Sus scrofa: one gene and its partners. The protein of the gene in region 1 purifies or fractionates together with the protein of each later gene. This does not show direct contact. Links are inferred from orthologs where the notes say so. Each region holds a gene or a part of one and is shown in the gene's direction. Other genes may lie near its edges.

Region 1 (4,197 bases):
TAACCCACTGAGCGAGGCCAGGGATTGAACCTGCAATCTCATGGTTCCTAGCCGGATTCACTTCCACTATGCCACACTGGAACTCCCCTAAGATAAACTTTTATGGTTAATGGGATTTACTTTGACTGATTTCAGACTTGTAACAGACATAACTGAGAGCAATACTGCAGGTTGGTCTCACTCTTTCAGGTGGGGGGCCTAATGATTATAATTTTGCTCCAAGGAACACTTGGCCAAGGGCCGAGGGGGGTGGACTGTGCAGAAGAGAGCTACTAAAGCAGGCCTGAGACTGCTCTCCTTAGAAAGACTTGCTCCGTGGTTGGCCCTTGGCTGGCATTTCAGTTCTTGGATTTCAGGAAGGTTCTCACCATTTCCTTAATGATAAAGAGTCGCTCACTGGGCCTACACTGTGCAAACAATGTGGTTTATGCTGTATACCTGCGTTCCCTCCAGGAATCTGGAATTTGGGTGTATGCTAGCAGAGGGCGCCCCCAGAAAAGCCCTAGGAGCTGAGTCTCTAATAAGCTTTCCTGGTAGATGACAGTTCATGCATGTCATCACACTCATTGCTGGAGGAATCAAGTGTGTCCTGTGTGACTCCACTGGGAGAAGACTGTGGGAAGGTGGGGCCTGGTTGCCTCTGGATTTTGTCCCATGCGCTTCTTCCCTTTTGATTTCGCTTCGTAGCCTTTCGCTGCAATAAACCTTAGCCGTCTGTGAGTAGGACTCTATGCTGAGCCCTGGGAATCTCTTAGTGAATCATCAAACTGGGGGTGGTCTTGGGGAGCCCCAACACAGAGCAAAGAGAGACTTCTGGCGTGTTGGTAGTATTCTCTTTCTCAGTCTGGGTGCTGTTTACATGGGGTGTGTTCAGTTTGTGAAAATTCACTGAGCTGTACAGTTAAGATATGTATACTTTTCTGGCAGAGGGAGTCAACTTTATAAAAAGATAAAATGGATATTACACATCACAGGGGTTAAAAAAGAATAACTTAATTAAAAAAACTTATTTAGTAAACATTTTATTTTTTTAAAAGTTTTTTATGATAGTTGATTTACCGTGTTCTGTCAATTTCTGCTGTACAGTGACCCAGTTATACATATGCATATTCTTTTTTTCATATTATTTTCTATCATGTTCTATGACAAGGGATTGTATAGAGTTCCCTGTGCTATACAGCAGGACCTCATTGCTTATCCATTCTAAATGTAATAGTTTATTTAGCAAACTTTTTTTTTTTTTTGCTTTTTTGCTTTTTAGGGCTGCACCTGTGGTACATGGAAGTTCCCAGGCTAGGGGTCAAATGGGAACTGCAGCCACTGGCCTACGCCATAGCCACGTGGGATCTGAGCCAGATGTGCAACCTACACCACAGTTCACAGCAATCTTTAACTCACTGAGAGAGGCCAGAGATCCAATCTGGGTCCTCATGGATGCTAGTCAGGTTCATAACCCACCGAGCCACAATGGAAGCTCCCTATTCAGCAAACATTTTAATCACTCCTTTTTATTAGGCACTATGCTGGGAGCTTGGGACATGGGGTAGGAATGATGTCATCATGCCACTTTGTTTATTGGGAGTCAGGTAAAGAGATACTTGTAATTCGGTTGATTTTTGCTGAGTTCTAGCACAGACATCATAGGATGTCTAACTATTACCAAAGACTACTAACCTGGGTAATCGGCTATTGCAGGGTTTCCGCTCAAACATCTACAGAAGCCAGACAGGCAAATGGGCAAAGGGGTAGCTGGGAACTGTGGCAAACTGGAAAGGTATGTAGGCATAGAGTTGCCACAGCAAGTAGTTTTCCTTAAGAAAAAGCCACAAAACTGATTTTTTTATGTGCGCTCTCTGTATTTTTGAACCTGTAAATGGATCCAAAAATTTAACAGCGGGAGACCAAACAAAACACCTCTGCAGACCAAATTTGGCCTTGGTCTACCAGTTTGCCAGGCATTCCGCCAACCAGCCACACAGTCCCTCTTACCAAACAATTGAAGGTCCACTATTTTAGGCGCTGGGAGACAGCAGTGAGCCAGCCAGCCGACTTTCTTGCAGAATAGCGGGGTGGGGGCTCTGGTTCTGTGCTTCTCAAACTTCCCTAAGTGTAGGACTCACTGGGAGGCCTGCGGTGAGGCCTGAAGCTTTGCCTTTCTAACAAGCTCCCAGGTGGTGATAATGCTGGTGGTTCCTGCACCATACTTTGAGTAGCCTTGAGCTGTAACCCAGAGGCTCGGGAGCAGCTGTTATTTGAAGGAGGGAAGTAGGGGGTTTGTCTTGAAGGTCACATTTGCCTGGCAAGCATCCTCTTTTTACTTAGATTTTAGTTTACTGCAGGGACTTGGAAGAGAGTTGATGACGTCGAAGGCGGGTGTTAAGGCTCTCCCAGCTACCTCTCGGCGCTGCCGGGTCTCCGTTCTCAGTTTATAAGCTCGAAGGCGGGGCAGGGGTGAAGGAAGGTGGTGGGAAAAACTTCCTGGGGGAGGTGCACGTGGACTGCCCGACCTTCCCCAGCCGCCGAGAAAGGGAGAAACCCCGAACTCCCCCTCTCCTGGGACTGGGTCTCAGCATCCCCACGCCGGGTCTGGTTTCCCAGGCATCCCACGTGTCCGCGAGTCCCTGTCAATCAAGCTTCTCCTCCCCGGGCTGGGCACGGGTTTAAAGGAGGCTGCTGCGCAGAGAGCTCCCATAGTGCCGCGCGGCGGGCGGGTTTGGATTTTAAATCCCCGCGGCCAATCAGTAGCGCGTAGGCTTTTGTAACGTTCCCGGCGCCGCGTTTGAATTCGAGGAGGGGCAGAGCGGTGCCAAGCCTCGGCCCAGACCCTGCTAGGTCCGCTGAGCAACTCCGGGGACATGAGTGCGGCGGCAACTACAGGGAAGCTGGCGCGGGCACCGGCTGACCCAGGAAAAGCCGGGGGCCCCGGAGTTGCAGCTCCCGGGGCCCCGGCGGCCGCTCCGCCGGCGAAAGAGATCCCGGAGGTCCTAGTGGACCCGCGCAGCCGGCGGCGCTATCTCCGCGGGCGCTTTCTGGGGAAGGGCGGCTTTGCCAAGTGCTTCGAGATCTCGGACGCGGACACGAAGGAGGTGTTCGCCGGCAAGATCGTGCCGAAGTCGCTGCTGCTCAAGCCGCACCAGAAGGAGAAGATGTCCATGGAGATATCCATTCACCGCAGCCTTGCCCACCAGCACGTCGTCGGCTTCCACGGCTTTTTCGAGGACAACGACTTCGTGTTCGTGGTGCTGGAGCTCTGCCGCCGGAGAGTGAGTGTCGCTGCTGGGAAACTGGAGCTGCCTGCAGGCTGGGGTTGGGGCGTCCGGACCCAGCTGCTGGGGAGGGGACCCCCCGGGACTCGGAGCTGCTGGAGAGGAGGTGCTGGGTGGGAATCTCGAGCTGGAAGTGGAGAAGGTCTCGAGTAGAGAGGGGGCTTGGCACTTGGGGCTGCTAGGGGAGGGGGGTTCGGGTTTAGTGGAGCCCGGGTCGCGTTGCCTCTAGGGAAGGCGGCTCAAGGACGCTAGGAGTTGGGCGGAGTTGGGGAGGCGCGGGTCGCGGGAGAGCCCTGCTAATGGTCTTCCGGAGTTGCTAGGTACGGGGTGCTCTGGACCTTCCGGAGTGGGGTTGGGTCAGGCACAGGGTAGTTGGAGCCAGACTTGGGGGCTTCCGGGGAGGAGAGGGGTCAGAAAAGGGATCTCTTGCTGCGGAAGAGGCCTGGCGAGGGGGTGGCGGGGGGGGGGGGGGGGCATACGGGGTACTCTTGAACTTCCTGAAGGGTTGAGAGAGGAGTCCCAGGTAAGGGAGCTGGTGGGAGAGAGGGCGCTCTGAACCGTTGTGGCCTGGCTTAGGGGAGAGTGGAGAGCATAGCTGTCCTGGAGAAGGACTGCTGGGTAGGGTCCTAGGCAGCTTTCACCTAATGATACTGCTTCCCTGCCTTGGGCCTGAGTACCCACTGCCCGTTCCTCCTTCCTCCCCTCGCCAAGTCTCTCCTGGAGCTGCACAAGCGGAGGAAAGCACTCACCGAGCCCGAGGCCCGCTACTATCTGCGGCAGATCGTCCTCGGCTGCCAGTACCTGCACCGAAACCGTGTTATTCACAGAGACCTCAAGCTGGGCAACCTCTTCCTGAACGAGGATCTGGAGGTGAAAATAGGTGAGGAGCTGGGCCTGCAAGGGCGTTTGACATTGCAGGAAGTGGGAATGA
Region 2 (4,208 bases), about 16 Mb from region 1:
CGGCATATGGAGGTTCCCAGGCTAGGGGTCTAATCGGAGCTGTAGCCTCCGGCCTATGCCAGAGCCACAGCAACGTGGGATCCGAGCCGCGTCTGCAACCTACACCACAGCTCACGGCAACGCCAGATCATTAACCCACTGAGCAAGGGCAGGGACCGAACCCGCAACCTCATGGTTCCTAGTCGGATTCGTTAACCACTGCGCCACGACAGGAACTCCCTGAAACTCAACATTGAGAACTAAATACCATATGACCCAGCAATCGCACTCTTACTAGGTATATACCCAAGAGAACTAAAAACACGCTCATACACAGATGTTCACAGCACTTTATTTTCTTTTGGCAGCACCTGCTGCATATATAAGTTCACCATCCAGGGACTGAATCTAAGCCGCAGCTGCAACCTATGTCACAACTGCGGCAACAAGCGATCCTTAACTCACTGCCTGCTGGGGACAGAACACGAGTCCCAGCGCTGCAGAGACAGCACAGATCCCATTGCGCCAAAGCAGGAATTCCTGTAAATTATATTTAAGCAAGGAAAAAAAAAAAAAAAAAAGCCAAATGCATGGGCCTACTCCGTCTCCTGTATTCACTACTATCAGAAAGTGGGACCACATTCTACTCAGATGCTCAGGCCAGAAACCCACATACCCCCATCACTAACTAGGTCACGATAATTCAGTCGTCTTAACAGTTGTCCCTTCCCTCCACTCCAACTCCTAATTCAGGCCACCGCCATGTCTCGCCTGCGATACAGGAGCCTTTTCACCGAGGTAGCCTCTCCAGACCAATTTTTACACTGCGACTAGCACTTTCTTTAAAAACAAAGTCTTTAACGGCTCCCAGTGCCTCTTAAGGCCCTTAATACACTTCACAGTTTCTCTCAAACTTCAGCCCGAGCGAACCTCTCCGGCTTCGCGCCCCTCAAGCCCGGAGAGCCAGCCTCGGGGGTGGGCGTGAGGGGGGGTGAGCATCGCCTCGGCTTCGGCTTACCCTCGGCCCGCGCTGGGCAACCCGCCCTCCGGGCCTCAACCTGCCCACAACCATCAGAAGGACGCTCTCCCGCTGCGTCTGGCTGCGTCGGGCGCCTCGGTTTACTCGTCGGCTCGTCAGGCCGGTGCCCTCCAAGGGGCCGCCAATGAAGCCGCATACGTTTCCTGTGTGAACCGTGGTGCACTCAAACTTCAGCTTAAAGCCCAGGCAGGAGCCTAAACTCCCCCTGACTCTTCCTCAACACTTCAGAGTGCCTGGCGCCACCTAGGCCCGCGGCCACACGACCCTCGTGCACGGCACTCCACCTCCTCCCGCCTCGCGCGGTCGGAAACGCTCTGCTGCGCCCCTTGGCCGCGAAGCAGGATGGGAAGCGAGCCCGCGGGTCGCCCAGCGCCTGCGCAAACGCAATTCTCCGCGCGATGCCCAGTGGCGCATGCGCAGGCGCGCGGGTCTCCGTTGAGAAGGTGCTGCGGCGGCGCCGGAGGTAGGAGGAGTCGGGCTTGGGGCCGGGAGTCTACACCCGGGAGAGCAGGTCCCACTGCTTTGGGCCTTTCCTTCTCTCCTGAAGGTGAAGAACCTTTCTCGCCCGCCGTTAAATGCGGTTAGAGGCAGGAGCCGCGCTTGGGTGGAGGGGGCCAGGGCATCCTAAACGGAAGAGGGGAGGGGTACCGGATAACTATGGGGTCACGACCCGGAGGTCCGTCGGGCGATCGGGATTCGCTGTCTACCTTTATAGGCGCCAGAGTCCTTCGCAGCCCTTTTCCAGGGGACAGCCCGTGTGTCACTGGGTTGAGGGAAGCGGGGGTCCGCCCGCACCTGCCCCATTCATTCTTTCCGCGTCTGTGGCACGCCTGCCGCTGTAGGTACAAAGCTGTCTCAGACCTCTGGAAACCTGCGCTCTCCTTCAGTAGATACTGAGTGAGCACTGTATAGAAGCACTGTTTTAGACTAGTATTTTCAGAGTCGGAGATTCAAAGCAGTGTGGAGGGCAGAGTCTACTCTAGCGATCACATCCAACCGTTTGCTTAGCCTGACGTTCCAGACGCTCGGACACGATTCTCTGCTTCTCCCTGCAGCCTTCTCTCCTGCCACTCTTTTTCGCTCCTGATTGTACCAAACTCAGCAGTTAGGTAATTCAACAGATAATTGTCTAGCACTTATTCCAAGCCCGGCACCTTGTCAGCCAAAGAGACTATGAAATAAAGATAAGCATGTGCTCCCTGAAGTTTTGAGCTTAGTAGGGGACAGATAAGTAAATGAACAAAAAAATATAAGAGGCGATGCCCTGGAACCACACTGCCTGGATTTGATCCCAGCCCTGCCACTTGAAAAGCTGTGAGAACCTGAGCCCATTCTTTATTCTTGTGCCTGGTTCCTTGCTGTAAAGACAGGATGACAGGTATTCCCTGGTGGCTCAGCTGCTTAAGGATCTGGCATTGTCATTGGTGTGGCTCCGGTCGCTGCTGTGGTTCGGGTTCAATCCCTGGCCCACAGACTTCCTCATGCTGCGGTGGAGCCGAAAGGAGGGATGACAATAGATTCTCCCAGCAGGGTTGTTGTATGTATTAAGCTAGACTTGTAAAGCACCTGAGACTGCTGCCTGGCCACTCAGTAAGCTTTCAATAAGTCTATTACATATTATTATACCTGCTGATAAATGCCATTGAGAAAGTGATGTGCAATGATAAGAAATAATGATATCCTCTCTGGGAGCAAAGAGGACACAGTTAGTTTATCTTTTTCCATTAGATAAAGAATGAGGACAGGCTTCTCTAAGGAGATGGAAGATGCAAATGAGCTAGCCATGCCAAGTAGATTTTAGGCCTAGCTCTGGAAGACTAGGTGATTAACTGGATTACTTAGACAGTGGAAATTGCATCGTAGCATTTGAAATGAACTTTCTGCCATTGGGTTATTCAGTGTTGATTTGTGAACTCCCCTAAACTGTGCCAGTATAAATAAGCATGCCCATAGGGACCAATCTTTGCATATGGGCAGCATACTAGCTCTGAGCCAGGACAGTTGCTGGGGTGACAGGATGGAGAAAAGCAACCTTTTTCTGATTTGGAAAAACTGGGGGCATCAGTGAAGGAAGAGCCTTTTGTATCTTCCTGAGTGTTCAGGTGTCCATTCCCTCGCTCTCATTATATTGCTTGCTGATAGAGCCTCTGAGCTGGAGGCCTTGGACCAGCATGGGCCTAAGAGATAGTTTTTTCTGGTTTGGGGGGTCATCTTGTTTGTGTGATGACTCTTCATAGGATTCATTCCCCAGGTTTCAGTAAAAACTATACTCTTCAAAGTTGCACAGATTTTTCTGCCTGTGGAAGGAGAAGCTTTGACAGGTTTCTGGATCCCTCTCCCCTGTCATGTTGGGGTCCCCTATAGGATGATTAGTCAGTGTTAACCAGGCTAGAGCTGAGTATTTGACAGGGGATTGTTAACCTGAAGACTTTCCCTATACCCCACATGCTCTTGTACCTTCCTGGAAGAAATAGCATAAAGTGACAACATCTAATTACACCTTTTTTTTTTTTTTTGGCCTTACCGGTGGAAGTTCCTGGGCCAGGGATCAAACCCAAACCACATCAATAACCACAGCAGTGACACTGCCAGATCCTTATCCCTTTGACCCACCAGGGAACTCCAAATTACACAGATGCTTTTGGTTTTCCACAGGTGAAAAATTGAACACATGTGCTTTATCAATACGGAGATCTTGGCGAACCTCCTGAGCACCAAAGTCACATGTATTCTATCTCAGAGGCATCTCCTGGATGAGAGAACCTCTCAGATGTGAACTTTAATAGAGGTAAGCTTTAAACATGCTGTTTAACCCAGGTTCCACTTGAAGACATTTTATTATTTTTTAAAAATTTATTTATTTTTTTGTCTTTTTTTGCCATTTCTTGGGACTCTCCCACGGCATATGGAGGTTCCCAGGCTAGGGATGGAATCAGAGCTGTAGCTGCCAGCCTACGCCAGAGCCACAGCAACGCGGGACCCGAGCCGCATCTGCGGCCTACACCACAGCTCATAGCAACGCTGGATCTGTTAACACACTGAGCAAGGCCAGGGATTGAACCTGCAGCCTCATGGATCCTAGTCGGATTCGTTAACCACTGCGCCATGATGGGAACTCCTTGAAGACATTTTAAATCATCATGGAGGGTGGACACTACTTTTTGCTCAATTGTGCAAACTCTCCAGGTAT
Region 3 (3,500 bases), on another chromosome or scaffold:
GCAGACGATATATGAGACTATGTTTTCAGTTTCAGATGGTTTCTCATAAAGGAGGCAGTAGAGTACAGTGGTTAAAAGCCCTAGCTTGAGCGAGTTTCCCTGGTGGCTCAGTGGTAACAAACCCGACTAGTATCCATGAGGACACAGGTTTGATCCTTGGCCCCTCTCAGTGGGTTGAAGATCTGGTATTGCTGTGACCTGTGGTGTGGGTCCCAGATTCGGCTCGGATCTGGCATTGCTGTGGCTGTGGTGTAGGCTCACAGCTGTAACTCTGATTCAACCCATGGCCTGGGAACTTCTGTATGCCGCGGGTACAGCCCTAAAAAACAAAAAATAAAAAAAATTTTTAAAAGACTTAGGTTTAGGAGTTCCCGTCGTGGCACAGTGGTTAATGAACCCGACTAGGAACCATGACGTTCCAGGTGTTCTATCCCTGGCCTCGCTCAGTGGGTTAAGGATCCGGTGTTGCCGTGAACTGCGGTGTAGGTCACAGATGTGGCTCAAATCTGACGTTGCTGTGGCTGTGGTGTAGGCCTGCAGCTATAGCTCCAATTAGACCCCTAGCCTGGGAACCTCCATATGCTGCAGGTGCAGCCCTAGAAAAGACAAAAAAAAAAAAAAAAAAAAAAGACTTAGCTTTGGCATCAGACAAATCTAGGTGTGAATACTGCTTTGGTCATTTGATTCCTACATGACTTTTGGCAAGTTATAGAACTTCTCTTATCTGTGAAATGGGGGTAGTTATAGAACCTAACTCATGAGATTTTTGAGACATGTCACATAGAGTACTCATTACATTGTGTGGCACGTAGTAAGCTTTTAAAAATATATTAGCTATCACAGGAGTTCCCAACCTGGCTTAGTGGTTAACGAACTTGGCTAGTATCCATGAGGATGTGGGTTCCATCCCTGGCCTCTCTCAGTGGGTTAAGGATCTGGCGTTGCCGTGAACTGTGGGGTAGGTCGCAGACCCGACTCGGATTCTGAGTTGCTATGGCTGTGGTGTAGGCTGGCAGCTGTAGCTCCAATTCAACCCATAGCTTGGGAACTTCCACATGCCATGGGAGACAAAAAGACAAAAGACAAAAATAAAAATGTTAGTTATCATTAATATTAATTTTTATTCTGAATGCCTTCCAGAAGGTGCTTCCTGGAGGGGTCTGCCCCCATGTTCCTGTGCCGAGTTCCAGGACAGCCTCAACCTCAGTTACCATCCCTCAGGCTTGAGCCTGCACCTCAGACCACCCAGCCCGGGAAGTTCCCTACAGGAGCAGCCCCTCTCCCAAGTCCTAAGCCCTGAGCCCCCAGACCCAGAAAAGCTTCCTGTGCCCCCTGCCCCTCCGTCCAAGAGGCACTGCCGCTCACTCTCAGTGCCCGTGGACCTGTCTCGCTGGCAGCCGGTGTGGCGGCCCGCCCCCTCCAAGCTGTGGACTCCCATCAAGCACCGGGGCAGTGGTGGAGGGGGTGGGCCGCAGGTGCCTCACCAGAGCCCCCCGAAGCGGGTCTCCAGCCTCAGGTTCCTCCAAGCTCCCAGTGCCTCTTCTCAATGTGCCCCAGCCCACAGACCCTACAGTCCCCCTTTCTTCAGCCTGGCCCTGGCCCAAGAGTCCTCTCGTCCCTCTGCTGCCTCCCCGCAGAGTGGCTCCTGGGAGAGTGATGCTGAGTCCTTGTCACCTTGCCCACCCCAGCGCCGCTTCTCCCTGTCGCCCAGCCTGGGCCCACAGGCAAGCCGCTTCTTGCCCTCTGCCCGGAGCTCCCCCGCATCCTCCCCGGAGCTGCCCTGGCGACCTCGAGGCCTGCGCAATCTTCCCCGAAGCCGCTCACAGCCTTGCGATCTTGATGCCCGAAAAGCTGGGGTCAAGCGGCGCCATGAGGAGGACCCGCGGCGGCTGCGGCCTTCCTTGGACTTTGACAAGATGAATCAGGTGGGACCTGCAGGACCAGGGAGGCTTGGATGGGAGTAGGGGCACTGTTCCGTTTTCACTTTTGTGCTGTCCTCTAGCTCTGGGCCCTTCCTGGGTCTCCCCAGGAGCTCCTTTCTCTCTGAGCTTTTTGCTAGGGTGTTCTGTCTCCATTTACCCAGGACTATCCCGGTTTTAGCCCTGAAGGTCCCAGGTCTTGTGAAAAGCCTCAGTCCTGGGGGGTTCCAGAGAAACTTGGGATGAGACCTCTGTTAAACCTTCCAACAGAGATCCCACATTGTCATGCTAGAGGCACTTTGGCTCCTCTCTGAGAAGGCAAGAGCTACCAAAGCTCCATCATCAGTGCCCCACCCTCCTCACACATGGCTGGCTTTACCCCTTGCCCTTCGCTGCTTGCTGTGGGTCTGTGACGGCTTAAGCATGGCAGTCTGCTACATCATTCATCTGCCCAACAAATGTTTTTGACTTCCCAGTGTGCGTGCAGTTGTTGTATGCACTTGCCCACTTTTTCCATGTTCTTCCTTCTAAATTACTGGGTTGCAAACCTTTTCGAATAAGTGAGAACCTATTCACTCATTCATAGAATCATTCATTCAACTAGTCAGCAAACAATATTGAATACCTGCTATGTAGCAGGCTCTGAGGAGGCACTAGCAATCCAGTAGTGGAATAAGCAGACAGCATTCCTGCCCACGTGAAGATTTTATTGATTAATTGATTTTTGCTTTTTAGGGCCGCACCTGCGGTATGTGGAGGTTCCCAGGCTAGGGGTCTGATAGGAGCTACAGCTGCTGAAGCCTCAGATCTGCGTCTGCGACGTACACCATAGCTCACAGCAACACCAGCTCCTTAACCCACTGAGCAAGGCCAGAGATCGAACCTGCAACCTCATGGTTCCTAGTCGGATTTGTTTCCGCCCCACCACGACGGGAACTCCCATGTGAAGATTTTAAACCTGCTTCTAATCTTGAATCTCATAGAAACTGTGGGCTCTTTCTTCAAAGAAATGTGCATGTATACCAAATATCCCAAATTTTATCAGGGAGGTCATGACCTCACCCTAATGCTTAGGACTCCTGCCTTCAAGGCACTCTGGGCCAGGGTTCTCTGGGAAGTGAGTGTCTTTCTTTGCTTTAATTTTGTTTGTTTGTTTGACAGAAACCATACTCAGGAGGTCTCTGTCTCCAAGAAACAGCCCCGGAAGGCAGCAGTAACTCTCCACCGTGGTTCATGGCCTGTAGCCCCCCGCCTCTCTCTGCTTCCTGCAGCCCCATTGGGGGTTCCTCCCAGGTGCTGAGTGAAAGCGAAGAGGAGGAAGAGGGGGCCGTGCGGTGGGGGCGGCAGGCGCTGAGCAAGCGGACACTGTGCCAGCAGGACTTTGGGGACCTGGACTTGAATCTGATTGAGGAGAACTAAAACTGAGAGGCTGCTTCCTGGGGCCACACAGACTGACTCTCTTATGGCTACTAACAAGTGTCGAGGTCCCAAGGCCCGGGGCCCAGCCTGGGAATGGGGGTGAGTGGAGGGCTCCGACTCAGGGCAGCCGGAAATCTTCTCGCTCCAGGAAGCTCGACCATG
Region 4 (3,500 bases), on another chromosome or scaffold:
TGACTGGGCCCCATCATATGCTAAATCTTAACAAAAAGTTGATTTTATTCTGAATATTCTCATTTAGTCTCAACAAATACTAATAACTTTTGTGACAGAACACATGTTTTTAGAGCACATATTTTACCTCAGATGAGCAACTATTGTGTTTGGGGGTCTTTTGGTTTACTTTTTAAATTTTTGATAATGTAAATTTAAGTGTAAGATTTTCTTCCTACCTTGTATACTGGGCTGTTTCTTTTTGTGTGAAATGAGAGGGTTGGATAAAATACTTATTTCCTCCCAATTTAATAATTTATAATTCACGATTTGCTTCTTATATTTCTTGCTTATTACAGGTAGTGCTTGCTCGTTTGTTTGTTTGTTTGTTTGTTTATTTTGCTTTTTAGGGCTGCACCCATGGCATATGGAGGTTCCCAGCCTAGGAGTCTATTTGGAGCTACAGCTACCAGCCTATACCAGAGCCACACCAACACAGGATCCCAGCCCCATCGGCAACCTACATGACAGCTCATGGCAATGCTGAATCCTTAACCCACTGAACGAGGCCAGGGATCGAACCCACAACCTTATGGTTCCTGGTCAGATTTGTTTCCTCTGCGCCACGACAGGAACTCCTGCTCACATATTTAAAGGCCTAGATGTAAAGTAGTTAATAGTATATGTTCATTTGTAAATTATTTATTTTTAAATCATATGAGTATGTGTTTCTCTGAACTCTTGTCATTGAAATTAAATTTGTAACAATGTACAGAGTACTTAATGATTGGAAAGATTGTTTTTTGGAGTTCTAGGAAATTAATTGTTTTTGCAAGTTGAAAAGTATCCTGGTTAGAGAATATAATAGTTTTTCCCAAGTAAAGACCATCTTTGATTCTCATAAGGAATGAATTCTACTGCTCCCTTCTGTTATGAGAATGTAGTTGAACATGGAATGCACAAGAAGAAAAAGTTTTAAATTTGAAGTTAAGATTAACAAAAGGTAAAACTAAATCATCTAAAATAATATCTAGCTCTTGGATTCTTTAATTGCACTGAGCTTTGACTCTTTTATTTGTTTTTTTTCTTATAATTTCAGAGTTAGTCAGCAAAATAAAGTCAACCTAATGACAGCAGACAACTTATCCATCTGTTTTTGGCCAACTTTGATGAGACCTGATTTTGAAAATCGAGAGTTTCTGTCTACCACCAAGATCCATCAGTCTGTTGTTGAAACATTCATTCAGCAGTGTCAGTTTTTCTTTTACAATGGAGAGATTGTGGAAACTGCGAACACTGTGGCTCCTCCACCACCTTCAAACCCAGGACAATTGGTGGAACCAATGGTACCGCTTCAGTTACCACCACCATTGCAACCTCAGCTGATACAACCACAGTTACAGACAGATCCTCTTGGTATTATATAAGTTGGAAGTGATTGCAGACAGCCTGAAATTGGACAAAAAGCAAATCTAGACATGCATGTTTCAGGGTTCAGTAGTATACTTCATGTTTCTTACAGGTAATTCACATTCAAAATGATGAGACATTTCTCTTTGAAATATATGGTATTCCTTATTCATTTACATTGCAAATCTAATACCATGTGATAAGCATGACTGGAGACGTTTAATTTTTATAAACAAAAATAGCTATAAAATACAAAGCTGCTGTTGCATGCAACCTTATTGCAATCAGTATATCATTCCTGTGGCATTTTCTGTCACATTATATTGTGAATAAAATTTTTCTATAGAAATTAAATGATTTAAAAATTCACATATATGAAACATTTAATGCTTTTCAGCCTGCTTTATGGCTGGTTTTGTTATATGATGTGCTAATTTGAGCAACTTAATTTACTTTTAGCAGTCTGTGTAGATAACTAAAATCCCAGTTAAGTATTTTTTAATTTCAGGCTACTTATGCCATGCTTGGGATGTTATTTGAAAGAAGGAAAAATACACTTAACCTTTTTGCACCTTCATCTTCTAAGTAAACCTATGGATTATTTGATGGGGGTAAATGAACATTTCTTATACACACATACCAAGGACATGCTTGTGGCTAAAGTGAGTTGATAATGTTGTGCAAAGGATAGCTGTCACCAACTCATTTCTTTATAGTCCATAATGAAACAAACATCTTGTATACTGTTAATTCTGTAAACAGATGCATGTTCAAAAGATCTATTATGGTCTTGTAATCTTAATCTAATATATTTTAGATATTTTAATTTTTTTCCCTCTTGGGAAATACATTTAGTAGTGTAGAAAATACTTCATGACATTTTCATATAAGGTTATATAACTTTTCATACATAAACATGAAATTTGTTGTAGAAAATTCTTTAAACCAAACATTTTAATCTAGGACTTCAATTTAATCTGTCCCTTGAATCTATTTTTATGTGGCCCTTAAAACCATATCCCAAAATCCATTGCTAATATAGCAATAAAAATACTTTGGGTACTGACAGCCTCTTTGGAGTATGTACATATATTGTTGCAAACCTGTATTCATATTCTTTTCTTTGATAATGTTGTACTAAAATCCAAAATGGCTTTTACACCATTTTTTAAACCAATTTTTTTTCCTTTAATGTTGGTACCAGATTTGCTGTAAATGACTGCTGCTTTGGGGATTAAATATTTTGTCAGTGAAGTTACCACCAGAACACTAAATTAATGAATAAAATTTTCGGAATAAGTGGCATAGGTAAATTTTGTTAGGCCTTATTCAAAATTTGTTCATTATCAAACCATGCCATTTTTTTCCCCAGAAAGGGGGGGGAAAAAAAAAAGGCTTGTTTTTTGTTGCTAGGTTATATTTTGTGTAGTAAAGAAAAAATTCTTTGGTCCATGTTGTAATCTTCATTCATACTGCAATTTTAAGGTTGTCTTATATGTACTATAGTAAATAGATGATTTTGAGATTTGAGGCTCCTAAGAGTTTGATTTGCTCCATGTTTTTCCTAAAATAAATACTGTCTTTCCCAACTGTTATGTCCTAGGTATTGTACTTCTAATTTTAACTTCAGAATCAAGATGTTGACATGAACCAGGCTGCTGTTGAAGTACATGTATATTATAAATTATCTTATTTGTGTTATACTCTTACATGTTATTATCTTTTCTAAGAAAACAAAGTCCCTATTATTCCTATTGCAAAGCACACAGGAATTAAGAAAGTACAGTAATTTTTAAAAAGAAAAATCCGGTAAATGTAGTATTCTTAACTTGTTCTATATTACTTATACCTATTGTCTATATAGCTTTAATTTATAGCTGTCAGTTTAACATTGGCATGTCTGGCAAAGAAAATTAAACTTTAAGAGTTTTATAAACTGTTTCTAGATTGCTAAAGAATTTATTTTTCTATATATGGTATAGACAAAGCTCAAAACTATGTACAGGAAAAAAGCCTGACTATTTCTTTTAGAAGAAGGCTGAAAAGAGAATTTTCAGAATTGTTCATGTCTTCAGTTCATTTGGTCATAACTTTGCTATTGTAATATGTGA
Region 5 (4,184 bases), on another chromosome or scaffold:
TATTAGGTTCAACCCAAAATTTGATAAAAGTAATCCTTTGTGAAAAATAATAACATTACCCTACTCCTCTTTCTCCTACTCCCTCTGGCCCCCACACCCTTCAAGTTCCAACAATTCTGGCCTAGGGCAGTGCAATAGCCTAACTGGCCTACTCAGGCACACCCCTCCGTGAACTCTTTAAACTGCAAATCTAATCCTGACTCTCTTCTGCTTAACATGTTTTGATTCTCTGTAAGGGCCAAACTTTTCAGTGGTGGCTAAGGTCCTGAGGCTCTGGTTCCAGCTTCATCTCACACGCACTCTGCACAGGTCTCTTAGCTCACACTCCTCAGAGACGCTTCAGCCTCTGTGCAGACCTCCCTTCCTCCCCTCCTACCACACTGCCCTGCAGCACCTCCCACCCTTTGCTTTGAGGGTCTCCCTCCCACCTTTGCCTAAAGGTATCAGATCACAGACCAAGCATGAGTTCCTGGGAAATGCTCTTCTCACCTCCCTTAAGGCCAGATCCTCTTACTGGAGATACTCAATGTGATCCCCGAGTTCTAATTTATCACCTCACAGTTGAACTCTCCATTTGTTTAAATAGGTAATTTGCTTCGAAAATGTCTTCTTTCTCCTCCCATCAGACCTTAAGCTCAGGAGAAAGGCCCCTCTGCCACTGCATCCTAGCGCCGCCTGGTGCACAATGGGTGCTCAACTAAACTTAGGTGTTGCCTAAGTTAATAATAAAGTAATTTACCACATATAAACGATAGCATGGGGCCGGGGACGAGATTTGGATTGAAGGTTCAGAGCCGAGGCGGAGTTTGCGGCCTGTATGTAAATTTTGAGGAGGAGGGAGCTTGAACAAGGTCACAACTGCGCCCAAGTAGCCCGAAGGCCGGTAGGGGCTCCGGACGGTCGCTGGTTGCAGGTCAACGGAGGACAGTTCCCCCATCCCCTCCACCAGCTGGGAAGTCGCTGAGGGGGTAAGATCCCGGGGCGGCGACTGCTCAGGGCCCGGAGGGCTGCGGGGCCTGCCCGTGATACCCAGTGTCCCCGCGTCCCGCCGCAGCGGAGCCCTCCAGCGCCCTCCCCAAGAGCCGCGCGCCCGCACCTCTAGGTTCCGCCTCGCCCGCCGCGGCTTCGCCGGCGGTCCCGACTCCCCAGCTCACCTGCCTCACCCGCCGCCGCTCCGCCGACCTCACTGCCCGGCGGGGCCACCTCACTGGCCTCTCCCGCCTGCCGAGCAACCTCACCTGCCGGGCTGGACCGCAGCGCCCGCCCAGACGACTAGGCGGATCGCGGAAACAAGGCCGCCGCCGATTGGCCACGCCCGTCACGTGACCGCAACGCTCCGCCGGCGCCAATTTCAAACAGCGGAACAAACTGAAAGCTCCGGAGCGGGACCCCACCCCCGGCCCCGGCCCGGGACAACACCCCCCCCCGCGGCGGGATCCCGGGATTCCCCACCCCGCAGCCCGGGGACGCGGCCCGGCCTGCAGGTGGGAGCAGCGCGGAGCCTCCGGGAGCCCAGAGCTGACGGTGCAGAGAGGTGAGCGGCGGCAGGAGGGAGGCCCGGGGGCCCGGCGGCAAGACGGCGCGGAGGGCCGGCTCCGGCGGGAGGTGGCGGGGCTGCACCGCGCTTCTGCACCACCTCCCGGCCTCCTCACCTCTCTCGCGGAGCGGCCCGGGCCCTCCCTGGGAGGAAGGGCGGCCTGCTCGCTCTGGCAGACGGCGGATGGGATCCATCTGAGCCCACTCCGCTTAGAACCGACACCGACCAGCTCCCAGTCCCTGCGCCCAGGTGCCCTCACCACTAGGCTGCACTGCCTCCACCCCGCCCTTTCCCAGGGCCCTCCTCGCGGTCCTGGAGACCCTTGTCCTATGTGGTCTGGATGGGGGTCGGGTCGCGGGGGTCGCGGGAGCCGTTCCGGGCTAGAAAGGATTGGCCATTGGAGGTAGAGGGTGGTCTGAATAGAAAGGAAAATTAAACTTTAGACCTGAAAGATATCCTGGGGTGAGGGGTAGGAAGCCAGTACTAGTGTCTTCTGATTGATGGGTGGAGGGAGGAAGGCCAGAAGAGATAGGAGGTGGAGGTAAAACTGAGATTTGAAGGGAGAGGAAACCTAGATGTAAAGGAAAGGGAGGAGGCAGAGTGGAGAAGGTCTGTGACTTCTAAGCAGATGGCAAATGTCATATGAGTGTGACAATCATTTTTAGGGAGATTGCAGATAGCCTAAAAAAGAGACAACCTATTCCTCTGTCTCTCAAAGCACCTCTCAGTAGAATCACACAACTCTACATTATGGTAGAGTATTCATGGATCTGTTAAAATCAACAAAACACAATTTTTAAAAGATAAAACCGATTTCCATTAACATTACAGAACCACCGGGCACATTGATGGTAGCACATTCTATTAGGAGAGAGGGATTATGGTCTTGATTCTGAAAGTTAATCGAGTCGCATGCCTAGAAAATCAAAATATGAATAAGTACTTACAAGTTATAAAATGTCTCCATATAAATATTTTGCAAATTGTGGGGAAAATGTTTTTTTTTTTTTTTCCTAAATCAGTGGAAGGATAATAGCCTGTTAAGTGAATGTCAGCCATGATCTGCACAACTGTACCCTGAGCCTTGAAGGGGGCAGTTTCCCTTTTATCTGAGGTCTCATGAACTGGGAGATGTTTCCTTCAGTGGTGTGACAATAGTGCAACGGATAATTTGCCTTTTTCCTCTGATTCTGTGGGCACAGATCCTTTAATTTATAAAGTGAAATATTATAAGAAATATAAAAGAGGGAGTTCCCGTTGTGGCTCAGCGGTAACAAACCCAACTAGCATCCATGAGGACATGGGTTCAATCCCTGGCCTCGCTCAGTGGGTTAAGGATCTGGCATTGCTGTGACTGTGGGACTGTGGTGTAGGCCAGCAGCTGTAGCTCCAATTCAACCCCTAGCCTGGAAACTTCCATATGCTTTGAGTGGGGCCCTAAAAAGATCAAAAAAAAAAAGAGAGGAGTTCTCATCGTGGCACAGTGGTTAACAAATCCGACTAGGAACCATGAGGTTGAGGGTTCGGTCCCTGCCCTTGCTCAGTGGGTTAAGGATCCGGCGTTGCCGTGAGCTGTGGTGTAAGTTGCAGACGCGGCTCGGATCCCGAGTTGCTGTGGCTCTGGCGTAGGCCGGTGGCTATAGCTCCTATTCGACCCCTAGCCTGGGAAACTCCATATGCCACAGGAGCGGCCCTAGAAATAGCAAAAAGACAAAAAAAAAAAAAGAGAGAGAGAAATATAGGAGAGTTACCTGGTGGCCTAGTGGTTAAGGATCTGGTGTCATCACTCCTGTAGCTTGGGTTCGATCCCTAGCCCAGGACTTCTGCATGCTGCAGTTGGGGCTGGAAAAAAAAAAAAAAAAAAATATATATATATATATATATGTAAATGCTCCAGACTAGAATGGATTATGGGATCAGGGACTTATCAGAATGTCCATTCTAGCATTCCCACCCCTACAGTCACTGCAAGTGATCTGAATTATTGTAGGCAATAATAGGCATTTCCACATTTTTGTAGCTCCCCTACTTGTATCTGTTGCCAAACATTCTTTTTTTTTTTTTTGTCTTTTTGCCATTTCTTGGGCCGTTCCCGAGGCATATGGAGGTTTCCTGGCTAAGGGTCTAATCGGAGCTGTAGCCACCGGCCTACGCCAGAGCCACAGCAACTCGGGATCTGAGCCGCGTCTGCAGCCTATACCACAGCTCACAGCCTCGCCGGATCCTTAACCCACTGAGCAAGGGCAGGGATCAAACCCTCAACCTCATGGTTCCTAGTCGGCTTCATTAACCACTGAGCCACGACAAGAACTCCTGTTGCCAAACATTCTTAAGCTTCCAGACCTTTGGCTATGTTGACCTACAACTAACTCAATCTCACTTTGAATTGCCTCTATTTGCTTCCGTAGAACTCAGCTCCTGTTGTCTTTAGTCTTTACAGAGGCCCAGGGACCATTCACCTGGGCCCATGGCTTACCCTCCTGGTCATGAAGAGGAACACCCCTCTCTAACAAAACCTCCTAACAGATCTCTGACATCCTGCTCTTTCTTGCACTTTCCAGGGTCCATGCTTGTGATTTCTCAATGGAGAGTGAAAGCACAGACTCATAATGAAAACCAGCCCCCGTCGGCCACTGATTCTCAAAAG
Region 6 (3,500 bases), on another chromosome or scaffold:
TCTAGCTTGAGGCTTTGAAGGCAGGTACACTTGGTTTTGCTTTATTTTTAAGTTGAGAGCTAAGTTTTATTTGGGGTGAAATTAGGACTTAAGCCTGGGAGGTAGCAGCTCAGGTAACCTCGAGAAAAGGCTCCCAGACTTGGTTTTAAATCCTGATTTTGCTGCTAAGTAACTGAGACTTTGGTCCAGTTCCTCAGCTTCCAAGAGGCTGTTTCCTTATCTGCAAAATGGGGAATAGGTATTAAAAAATTTGAATGAATATTTTGATATCATTTTGTTATAGAGAAAAAGTAAGTCATGAGAGGATGAGGTTCTATTACTAAGCTCATGTAACTACAGTATCATAAAGGCAACTTTTTTGGGTATGGCATGCAGAAGTTCCCAGGCCAGGGATCGAACCCTCACCACAAGGGAACTCCATGAAGGCACTATTGTCTGTCTGGTATTATTTAACTCAAGTGGGAATATGCAGAGGTGAGAGAGTTCAGGGTGCCCAAGGGTTTGTAAACAGCATGTCTGTGATTTTACAAGGTAACGTTTTTGGATTATGCAGGTTGTGAGTTTTTGTGGGGTTTTTTTGTTTCTTGCTTTGATGCTTTGCTAACATGAGTTGCTTTATTATATTTAAGACTATATTGGGAGTTCCCATCATGGACAGCAGAAACGAATCTGACTAGGAACCATGAGGTTGCAGGTTTGATCCCTGGCCTCGCTCAGTGGGTTAAGGATCTGGCATTGCTGTGAGCTGTGGTGTGGGTCGCAGACGTGGCTTGGATCCTGCATTGCTGTGGCTCTGGCGCAGGCTGGCAGCAACAGCTGCAATTTGACCCCTGGCCTGGGAACTTCCATATTCTACAAGTGCAGCCCTAAAAAGACAAAAAATAAAAAAATAAGAATATATTGAAATAAGAACACAAACACAGCCTGCATTATGTTTGTTTTTAAAGGAAGTTATCCCAACTTTCGACATGGCTGTCAATGAGATCTTCTTTGACCGTTATCCTGACTCGATCTTAGAACATCAGATTCAAGTAAGACCATTCAATGCATTGAAGACTAAGAATATGAGGAACCTGAATCCAGAAGGTGATTTTTCTTCCACTTTTACTGAGATAGAGATGACATATAGAGGGTAACACTTTTAATAGCAGGAAAATACCTTATGTGAAAGTAAACAAAAACCTCATCAAGGAACTTTAAAAGCATTGGTTGTGGGCTATAAATTGACAAGACCTAGTGACAGATCCAGTCACCCATAAGCTTTTAGATCCACCATACCTATTGTTACCTAAAGTAAAACCATAAAAAAGATACCATAACTCGGTAGCTCTCTAAATTCAGGGTCAGTGTTGAAAACAAATATAAAATGCAGTCCCTGCCCTGAAGCTTACAGAAGAAATGGTGGAAGAGGCAGAAGCATGTGGTGGGTAAGTCTCAGCCCAAGTAGAGGCAGTGCCGGTCCAGTGGGAAGGATTGGGAAGCAGACCTAAGGGCTTCACTCTAGACAGAAAGAAGGGATGTGAGCAGAAGTGAAGCAAGACTTCAGACAGGACGTGATGGCTGCAGCAGGGATGTCTGGGTGGGGCCTGAGGAGCTTAGGCTTTTAATCCTAAGCCAGTGGGGAGCCATTGATCCTTTCTGAGGAGAAAGAATTTCTCCTGAGAAGTTCCTGAGTATGCAGGGTATGTTCAAGTGCAGTTAGGATGCTCCACCATGGACGGTGCCTATAGGAGTGAAAACACAGGGCAGATGTGATGGTTGAGTGAGGTATAAAAGCTGTAGGAAATTAGCAAGTACTCCTGTAGGTAAATGTGCTAAAGGCGCAAATCTCAGTAAAAGCGAAACAACCAATAAACAGCAGCAAATATTGGACTTGGCCATTTACGAAGGAAGAGTCATATTTTCCCTTGGGAACTTGACTCTGGTACCATCCCCACACTGGGAGGTTGTGGAGGGACCCTGGTGGGTAGGAGTTGTCCAGATGAGGGTGCTGGGCTGCTTTATTACTAAAGGGCAAGTTCCAGGGAGGTTGGCAATGACCATGGTTGTGGAAGTCAAGAAACTTCCAGAGATCCAACCATCACAACAGCTACATTTTAAAAGAAGAGGAGGGTTGGTGGGAGGGAGCAGGAGGTTGGGGGGGCACCAGATGGCAGAGGCCACGTGAGCCCTGGTGAGAGCTGGCGGCCTGAGAAGCTCAGCTGTGGGGAAGGTGGTTCTCTGCAGGGTGCTAGTCCTCAGCAGCAGGGGGGCCCGACTCCTGCCCCATGGGTGAGGCTGCGGAGGCTCAGCCTGTTCCCAAGGGCACACGGGAACCCCACCCAGCCCACCCGCCTACCTGGTTCACTAGGAGCCAGGGTCCCCGCGTGTGGCAAGAGTGAGGTCCAGGCGAGGGAACAACATGGGCAAAAGCATGGAGGCAAAAAGTGGAGCTGGACAGGAGGCAGACGAGGGAAGAGATGGGGGTGCCTGGGACAGGGCCCCAGCAAAGAAACAACAGACAAGCAATGGTGTTTGACGTGGGGATGGCCCCTGTGACTGTAGGAGATGGTCACAAGCATGGCTCTCGGCTGCATCCTGGGGCCCACATCTCCAGGTAGCCTTTGCTTGGCCCAGCTCAGCACGGGTAAGTGGACCTAAGGGGTTGGGGGGAGCAAGCCAGACACGGGAAGCGTGTCTGAGGCCAGACCCCAGGGTAGCCAGCGAGACGTCTGCTCTGTGACCCTGGCCATCCCGACACCTCAGTTGAGGCCCTCCTGGCTGGACGTCTGCTCCAGCTCAGAGAGGACAGCTGCCCTCTCCCCACCCTGCAGACATCGACCAGCTCATTGCCATCAGCGGCATGGTGATCAGGACGTCCCAGCTGATCCCCGAGATGCAGGAGGCCTTCTTCCAGTGCCAGGTGTGCGCCCACACGGCCCGGGTGGAGATAGACCGAGGCCGCATTGCGGAGCCCGGCACCTGCGAGCGCTGCCACACCACCCACAGCATGGCGCTCATCCACAACCGCTCCGTCTTCTCCGACAAGCAGATGGTGCGTGCCCCTCCACATGCCCTCTCCACTCCGGACCCCTGAAACCGCACTTCATTTGCTCTGGGGCAGGCGGGCTCATTAGAGGCCTGGGCCGGGCCCTGGGTGCTCCTCTGGGGTCTTGCCAGGGGCAGGGGTTCTGTAAGGGAGCATCCTCAGTTTAGCATCACTTGTGATTAAGTCAAATTTAATGAGATGCTTCTGTGGGAAATACTAAGGTTGGAGAGTCTCTAGCCCATCAGGCAGGCACATGTAAAACCTGAAGGTCCCCAAACGTGGAGGCTAAGTCTGTCAGCTGGCAGGTGGGTGACCCGGCAGCCACTGGGCTGAGAGTGTGTGCCGGCTTCTCGTGCACACTTTATTCCATAGCAGGTTTAATGTGAAAATCTTCCCAAGGAGGTGGAAATAGCTGTGAGCGGGGAGGGCGCGGCCTGTCTTGAGGGTCTGCACGGCTCTTTCAGATCAAGCT
Region 7 (3,500 bases), on another chromosome or scaffold:
CTGAGCCCTCGAAAGACACCTCCTGTGTTCTTATCGCCCCACCTGGCCTCTCCTCTGGGGATCGGCTGGGATCTTTCTGAAACCGACAGGTCGTGTCACTCCCTGCTTGAAAGTTGCAACGGCCCAGGTCCCCAGTGTGGCCGCGGGGTCCACCGTGGGCAGCCCCAGCCCCGCTCTGCCCAGGGCCGCTTCTGCTTCTCTCCAACCTCACCTAGTTCACCCCTCATGTCCTGCTAGGACTGGACCCACAATTTTTTTTTTTTTTAATTTTTCCTATTATAGTTGACTTACAGTGTCCTGTCAGTTTCTGCTGTACAGCGAAGTGACCCAGTTATACATACAAATACGTGCGGTCTCTTTTCCCATGATCCTCCATCACGTTCCATCGCAAGCGATTGGATATAGCTCCCTGTGCCGTACGGCAGGGCCTCATTGCTTATCTGCTCCCAGTGCGATGGTTTGCATCTGCTAACCCCGGACCCCGGTCCCTCCCTCTCCCTCGGCAACAAGTCTGTTCTCCAAGTCCATGATTTTCTTTTCTGTGGAAAGGGTCATTTGTGCCGTGTGTTAGATTTCAGGTATGAGTGATATCATATGGTATTTGGCTTTTTTTTGCTTTTTAGGGCTGCACTCGCAGCATATGGAGATTCCCAGGCTAGGGGTCGAATCAGAGCTACAGCTGCCGGCTTACACCACAGCCACAGCAATGTGGGATCCAAGCCACATCTGTGACCTACACCACAGCTCACAGTAATGCCAGATCCTTAACCTACTGAGCGAGGCCAGGGATCGAACCCACAACATCATGGTTCCTAGTCGGATTTGTTTCCACTGTGCCACAGTGGGAACTCCTGTCTTTCTCTTTCTGACTTACTTCACTTAATATGAGTGTGTCTAGTTCCATCCATGTTGCTGCAAATGGCATTATTTTGTTCTTTTTTATGGCTGAGTAGTAGTCCATTGTGTATAGATACCACATCTTCCTACTCCGGTCATCTGTTGATGGACATTGAGGTTGTTTCCATGTCTTGGCTGTTGTGGACGGTGCTGCAGTGAGCATGCAGGTGCATGTGTCTTTTTCAGTGAAGTTTTGTCCAGGTATATGCCCAGCAGTGGGCTTGCTGGGTCATATGGTGGCTTGATACTGTTTTCTGAGGAAGCTCCATTCTCCTGTGTGCAGTGGTTGTACCAGTTTACATTCCCGCCAAGTGTAGGACCCACAAGGTTGTGTCTGCTCTCAAGTAGCAACAAGAGAACGGGGCCGCCTGGCATTCCCCTGGGTGCAGTCCACGTGGTGCCCAGGAAGGCATATTGCTGCACACGTGTGTGTTCCTGTGTCGGGGGAGGGCCGGCCGCTGTCCCCGAGGGGTCCCTGAGCCACGGCAGCCTGTGGCCAGGCTTGTGAGCCTGGATGCCTCCAGACGCGGGCCCTGGCCGGCCTCGGTCCAGCTCTCCTGCATCCTGGCCAGCTGGTCACAGGCCTCCACCCTCATCCCAGCTCCACCTGGGGGCCGGTCCCGCCCAGCCTCCGCTGACCCCCGTCCTCTGCCAGGCTGGCCCTGGACTCAGGACCACCCCTGCTTCCTCTCCTGGGGGTGGCAGGCTCTGAGCGGGGAACACAGCTGAAAGCGCGCCCTCTCCCCTCCGGGCCCCAGGGGCGAAGATTGGCAGGACCCTCTTCCCGGGGCCTGTGGGGGGAGGCTTGCTGTTCTGCTGGGTCACGCGTGGGCCAGGTGCTGCATCGAGGGAGAGCTGTGTGTTCACGGCCACGTGGGGCGTGCGGCACCACGGACGGGAGCCAGGACCTGCGCTTCTGGGCGCGGAGCACTCGTGAGCAGGGCAGGGACAGGCCTGCCCCACCGCTGCCCCGTGCTCTGCCCACTCCCAGGTCCTGGGTCTGTCCCCGGGCTCCCCTAGGAGCTTGGCACACGCCCGCGGCCCTTGCAGGAGCACTGCCCGGGCGCTGGTCTGGAGGCCGCGGGGGTGGGTGCGGGCTCTGTGGCCTCAGCCCCCGCCACGGCTGCCGGTGTCACTGCTCGGTGGTGACCTGCAAGTGACGCAGGCATGGAGCTGGTGTCCCACAGTGAGGCCATGAGGAGGCTGGCGGGGCGGTAGCCTGTTGGGGCCGCGGGGCCGCCTGGCCTGACGCCGCGTCTCCCCAGGGCCGCGGGCGGCATGAGGCGCGGAAACATGGGCCACCTGACGCGCATCGCCAACGCGGTGGTGCAGAACCTCGAGGGGGGCCCCATGCAGACCCACGTCAGCGAGGTCATCCGAGGTGAGCGTGCGGCCGTCTGGGGCTGCCGGCTGGTGCCCGGGCCGTGGGCTTGCCTGCCCACAGGGCAGCCCTGGGGGCCCCGGGCGCGCTTCTGCGGGGCCGACGCCAAGAGACCAGCTCTTCTCTGGCCGCGGGGCCCGTCTGCGAGCGGGGGAGGGGGCTCTTCCCCAGAGTGGCGCCGGGCCCTGGCCAGGCCTCCTCTGCCCCGGCTGCCAGACCCGAGGGCGGCCACCCGCGCCCTTCCCAGCCCTGGAGTGTCCTGGGCACAGCCTGCAGCTCTGGGTGCCCGGCCTCCTGGGCTGAGCTGGGGGCCTGAGGCACCTCCATTCAGACACAAGAAGGCAGCAGCTTAGGAGGGGATTGTGGCCTTGCTGGGGAGGCAGGGTGCCTCGGGGCTCAGGCCCTGGGGCCGAGGCAGGGGCCTGCTAGGGAGCAGGTGCGGAGGTGCCGGTGGAGGGGGCCGCCCTGCGGGCGGACAGAAAGGTTGGGTGTGCGGCGGCGTGGCCATGATGGGCCCACACCTGTGCCTCCCCTAGTTGCCCTCGTGGGGGTCTCGGCCGTGAGCCTCCATCGGTGGGGCTGGGCGGGGGCAGCCCCTTGGTCTGCACCTGCAGGAGGGGGTCCCGGGCAGAGCTGGGTCTGGGGAGGTGGGAGCGAGCGGGGAGCCCTTGGCCACGATCTTCCTCCCTGTTTCTGGGCTGTGGGTCTTTCCGAGGCTCCGACCGCCCCAGAAAAACAGGGGCCCCCAGGCCCGGGTAGGTGCCATGGGGCCTGCGGGGAGGGAGGGGTGTGGCCGCACCCCATGCCCCCCTTGTGCCTGGGGCTTACGGATGGCCTTCTCTGCAGGGCTCCCTGCGGACTGCCGTGGGCGCTGGGCGAGCTTCGTGGAGGAGACGCTGACCGAGGCCAACCGCAGGAACGCGGTGGACCTGGTGAGCAGCCCCCGCGTCTGTAGACAGCTCACGTGCACCCCGCAGCCGAGAGCGTGCGGTGGAGCCTCTGGCCCCGGGCCGGTCGAGAGGGGGGCCCCTTGGCCCCCCGGTCCTTCCTGGCCTGTGCCCGTGGGGCTGCTTGGCGCGGGGCCCCGTGCACCGCACAGGGAGGCTCATGCCCGCCGCCCTGGCTGTTGCAGGTGAGCACCCGCCTCCTGCACCCCTCAGGTGAGGATGAGGACGTGGAGGCCGCTTTCCCCAACGAGCTGTCCCTTCAGCAGGTGTGTGTG

What was found.
Region 2: the proteins of PLK1 (region 1) and SLX4 purify together in Homo sapiens (affinity purification with mass spectrometry; 9 studies listed by BioGRID and IntAct, with this or other methods). This does not show direct contact. The link is inferred for Sus scrofa from reciprocal best matches to the Homo sapiens genes PLK1 and SLX4.
Region 3: the proteins of PLK1 (region 1) and FAM53C purify together in Homo sapiens (affinity purification with mass spectrometry; 3 studies listed by BioGRID and IntAct, counting the BioPlex papers as one, with this or other methods). This does not show direct contact. The link is inferred for Sus scrofa from reciprocal best matches to the Homo sapiens genes PLK1 and FAM53C.
Region 4: the proteins of PLK1 (region 1) and ARHGAP5 purify together in Homo sapiens (affinity purification with mass spectrometry; 3 studies listed by BioGRID and IntAct, counting the BioPlex papers as one, with this or other methods). This does not show direct contact. The link is inferred for Sus scrofa from reciprocal best matches to the Homo sapiens genes PLK1 and ARHGAP5.
Region 5: the proteins of PLK1 (region 1) and FOXM1 purify together in Homo sapiens (affinity purification with western blotting; 5 studies listed by BioGRID, with this or other methods). This does not show direct contact. The link is inferred for Sus scrofa from reciprocal best matches to the Homo sapiens genes PLK1 and FOXM1.
Region 6: the proteins of PLK1 (region 1) and MCM4 purify together in Homo sapiens (affinity purification with mass spectrometry; 3 studies listed by BioGRID and IntAct, with this or other methods). This does not show direct contact. The link is inferred for Sus scrofa from reciprocal best matches to the Homo sapiens genes PLK1 and MCM4.
Region 7: the proteins of PLK1 (region 1) and PPP6R2 purify together in Homo sapiens (affinity purification with mass spectrometry; 7 studies listed by BioGRID and IntAct, counting the BioPlex papers as one, with this or other methods). This does not show direct contact. The link is inferred for Sus scrofa from reciprocal best matches to the Homo sapiens genes PLK1 and PPP6R2.

Annotation. Positions count from the first base shown.
Region 1 is NC_010445.4:22,548,096-22,552,292, reverse strand, and holds the start of PLK1 (serine/threonine-protein kinase PLK1), read left to right. Parts: upstream 1-1,397; 5' UTR 1,398-2,855; coding exon 2,856-3,263; intron 3,264-3,977; coding exon 3,978-4,146; intron 4,147-4,197. UniProt on the Homo sapiens protein: Serine/threonine-protein kinase that performs several important functions throughout M phase of the cell cycle, including the regulation of centrosome maturation and spindle assembly, the removal of cohesins from chromosome arms, the inactivation of anaphase-promoting complex/cyclosome (APC/C) inhibitors, and the regulation of mitotic exit and cytokinesis.
Region 2 is NC_010445.4:38,645,496-38,649,703, forward strand, and holds the start of SLX4 (structure-specific endonuclease subunit SLX4), read left to right. Parts: upstream 1-1,408; 5' UTR 1,409-1,481; exon of another isoform or gene 1,482-1,565; intron 1,566-3,673; 5' UTR 3,674-3,806; intron 3,807-4,208. UniProt on the Homo sapiens protein: Regulatory subunit that interacts with and increases the activity of different structure-specific endonucleases.
Region 3 is NC_010444.4:140,337,101-140,340,600, forward strand, and holds part of FAM53C (protein FAM53C), read left to right. Parts: intron 1-1,140; coding exon 1,141-1,925; intron 1,926-3,080; coding exon 3,081-3,338; 3' UTR 3,339-3,500.
Region 4 is NC_010449.5:67,495,462-67,498,961, reverse strand, and holds part of ARHGAP5 (rho GTPase-activating protein 5), read left to right. Parts: intron 1-1,078; coding exon 1,079-1,406; 3' UTR 1,407-3,500. UniProt on the Homo sapiens protein: GTPase-activating protein for Rho family members.
Region 5 is NC_010447.5:67,244,849-67,249,032, forward strand, and holds the start of FOXM1 (forkhead box protein M1), read left to right. Parts: upstream 1-1,384; 5' UTR 1,385-1,534; intron 1,535-4,098; 5' UTR 4,099-4,146; coding exon 4,147-4,184. UniProt on the Homo sapiens protein: Transcription factor regulating the expression of cell cycle genes essential for DNA replication and mitosis. Plays a role in the control of cell proliferation. Also plays a role in DNA break repair, participating in the DNA damage checkpoint response.
Region 6 is NC_010446.5:79,680,465-79,683,964, reverse strand, and holds part of MCM4 (DNA replication licensing factor MCM4), read left to right. Parts: intron 1-947; coding exon 948-1,086; intron 1,087-2,813; coding exon 2,814-3,034; intron 3,035-3,492; coding exon 3,493-3,500. UniProt on the Homo sapiens protein: Acts as a component of the MCM2-7 complex (MCM complex) which is the replicative helicase essential for 'once per cell cycle' DNA replication initiation and elongation in eukaryotic cells.
Region 7 is NC_010447.5:289,528-293,027, reverse strand, and holds part of PPP6R2 (serine/threonine-protein phosphatase 6 regulatory subunit 2), read left to right. Parts: intron 1-2,162; coding exon 2,163-2,278; intron 2,279-3,124; coding exon 3,125-3,210; intron 3,211-3,410; coding exon 3,411-3,491; intron 3,492-3,500. UniProt on the Homo sapiens protein: Regulatory subunit of protein phosphatase 6 (PP6). May function as a scaffolding PP6 subunit. Involved in the PP6-mediated dephosphorylation of NFKBIE opposing its degradation in response to TNF-alpha.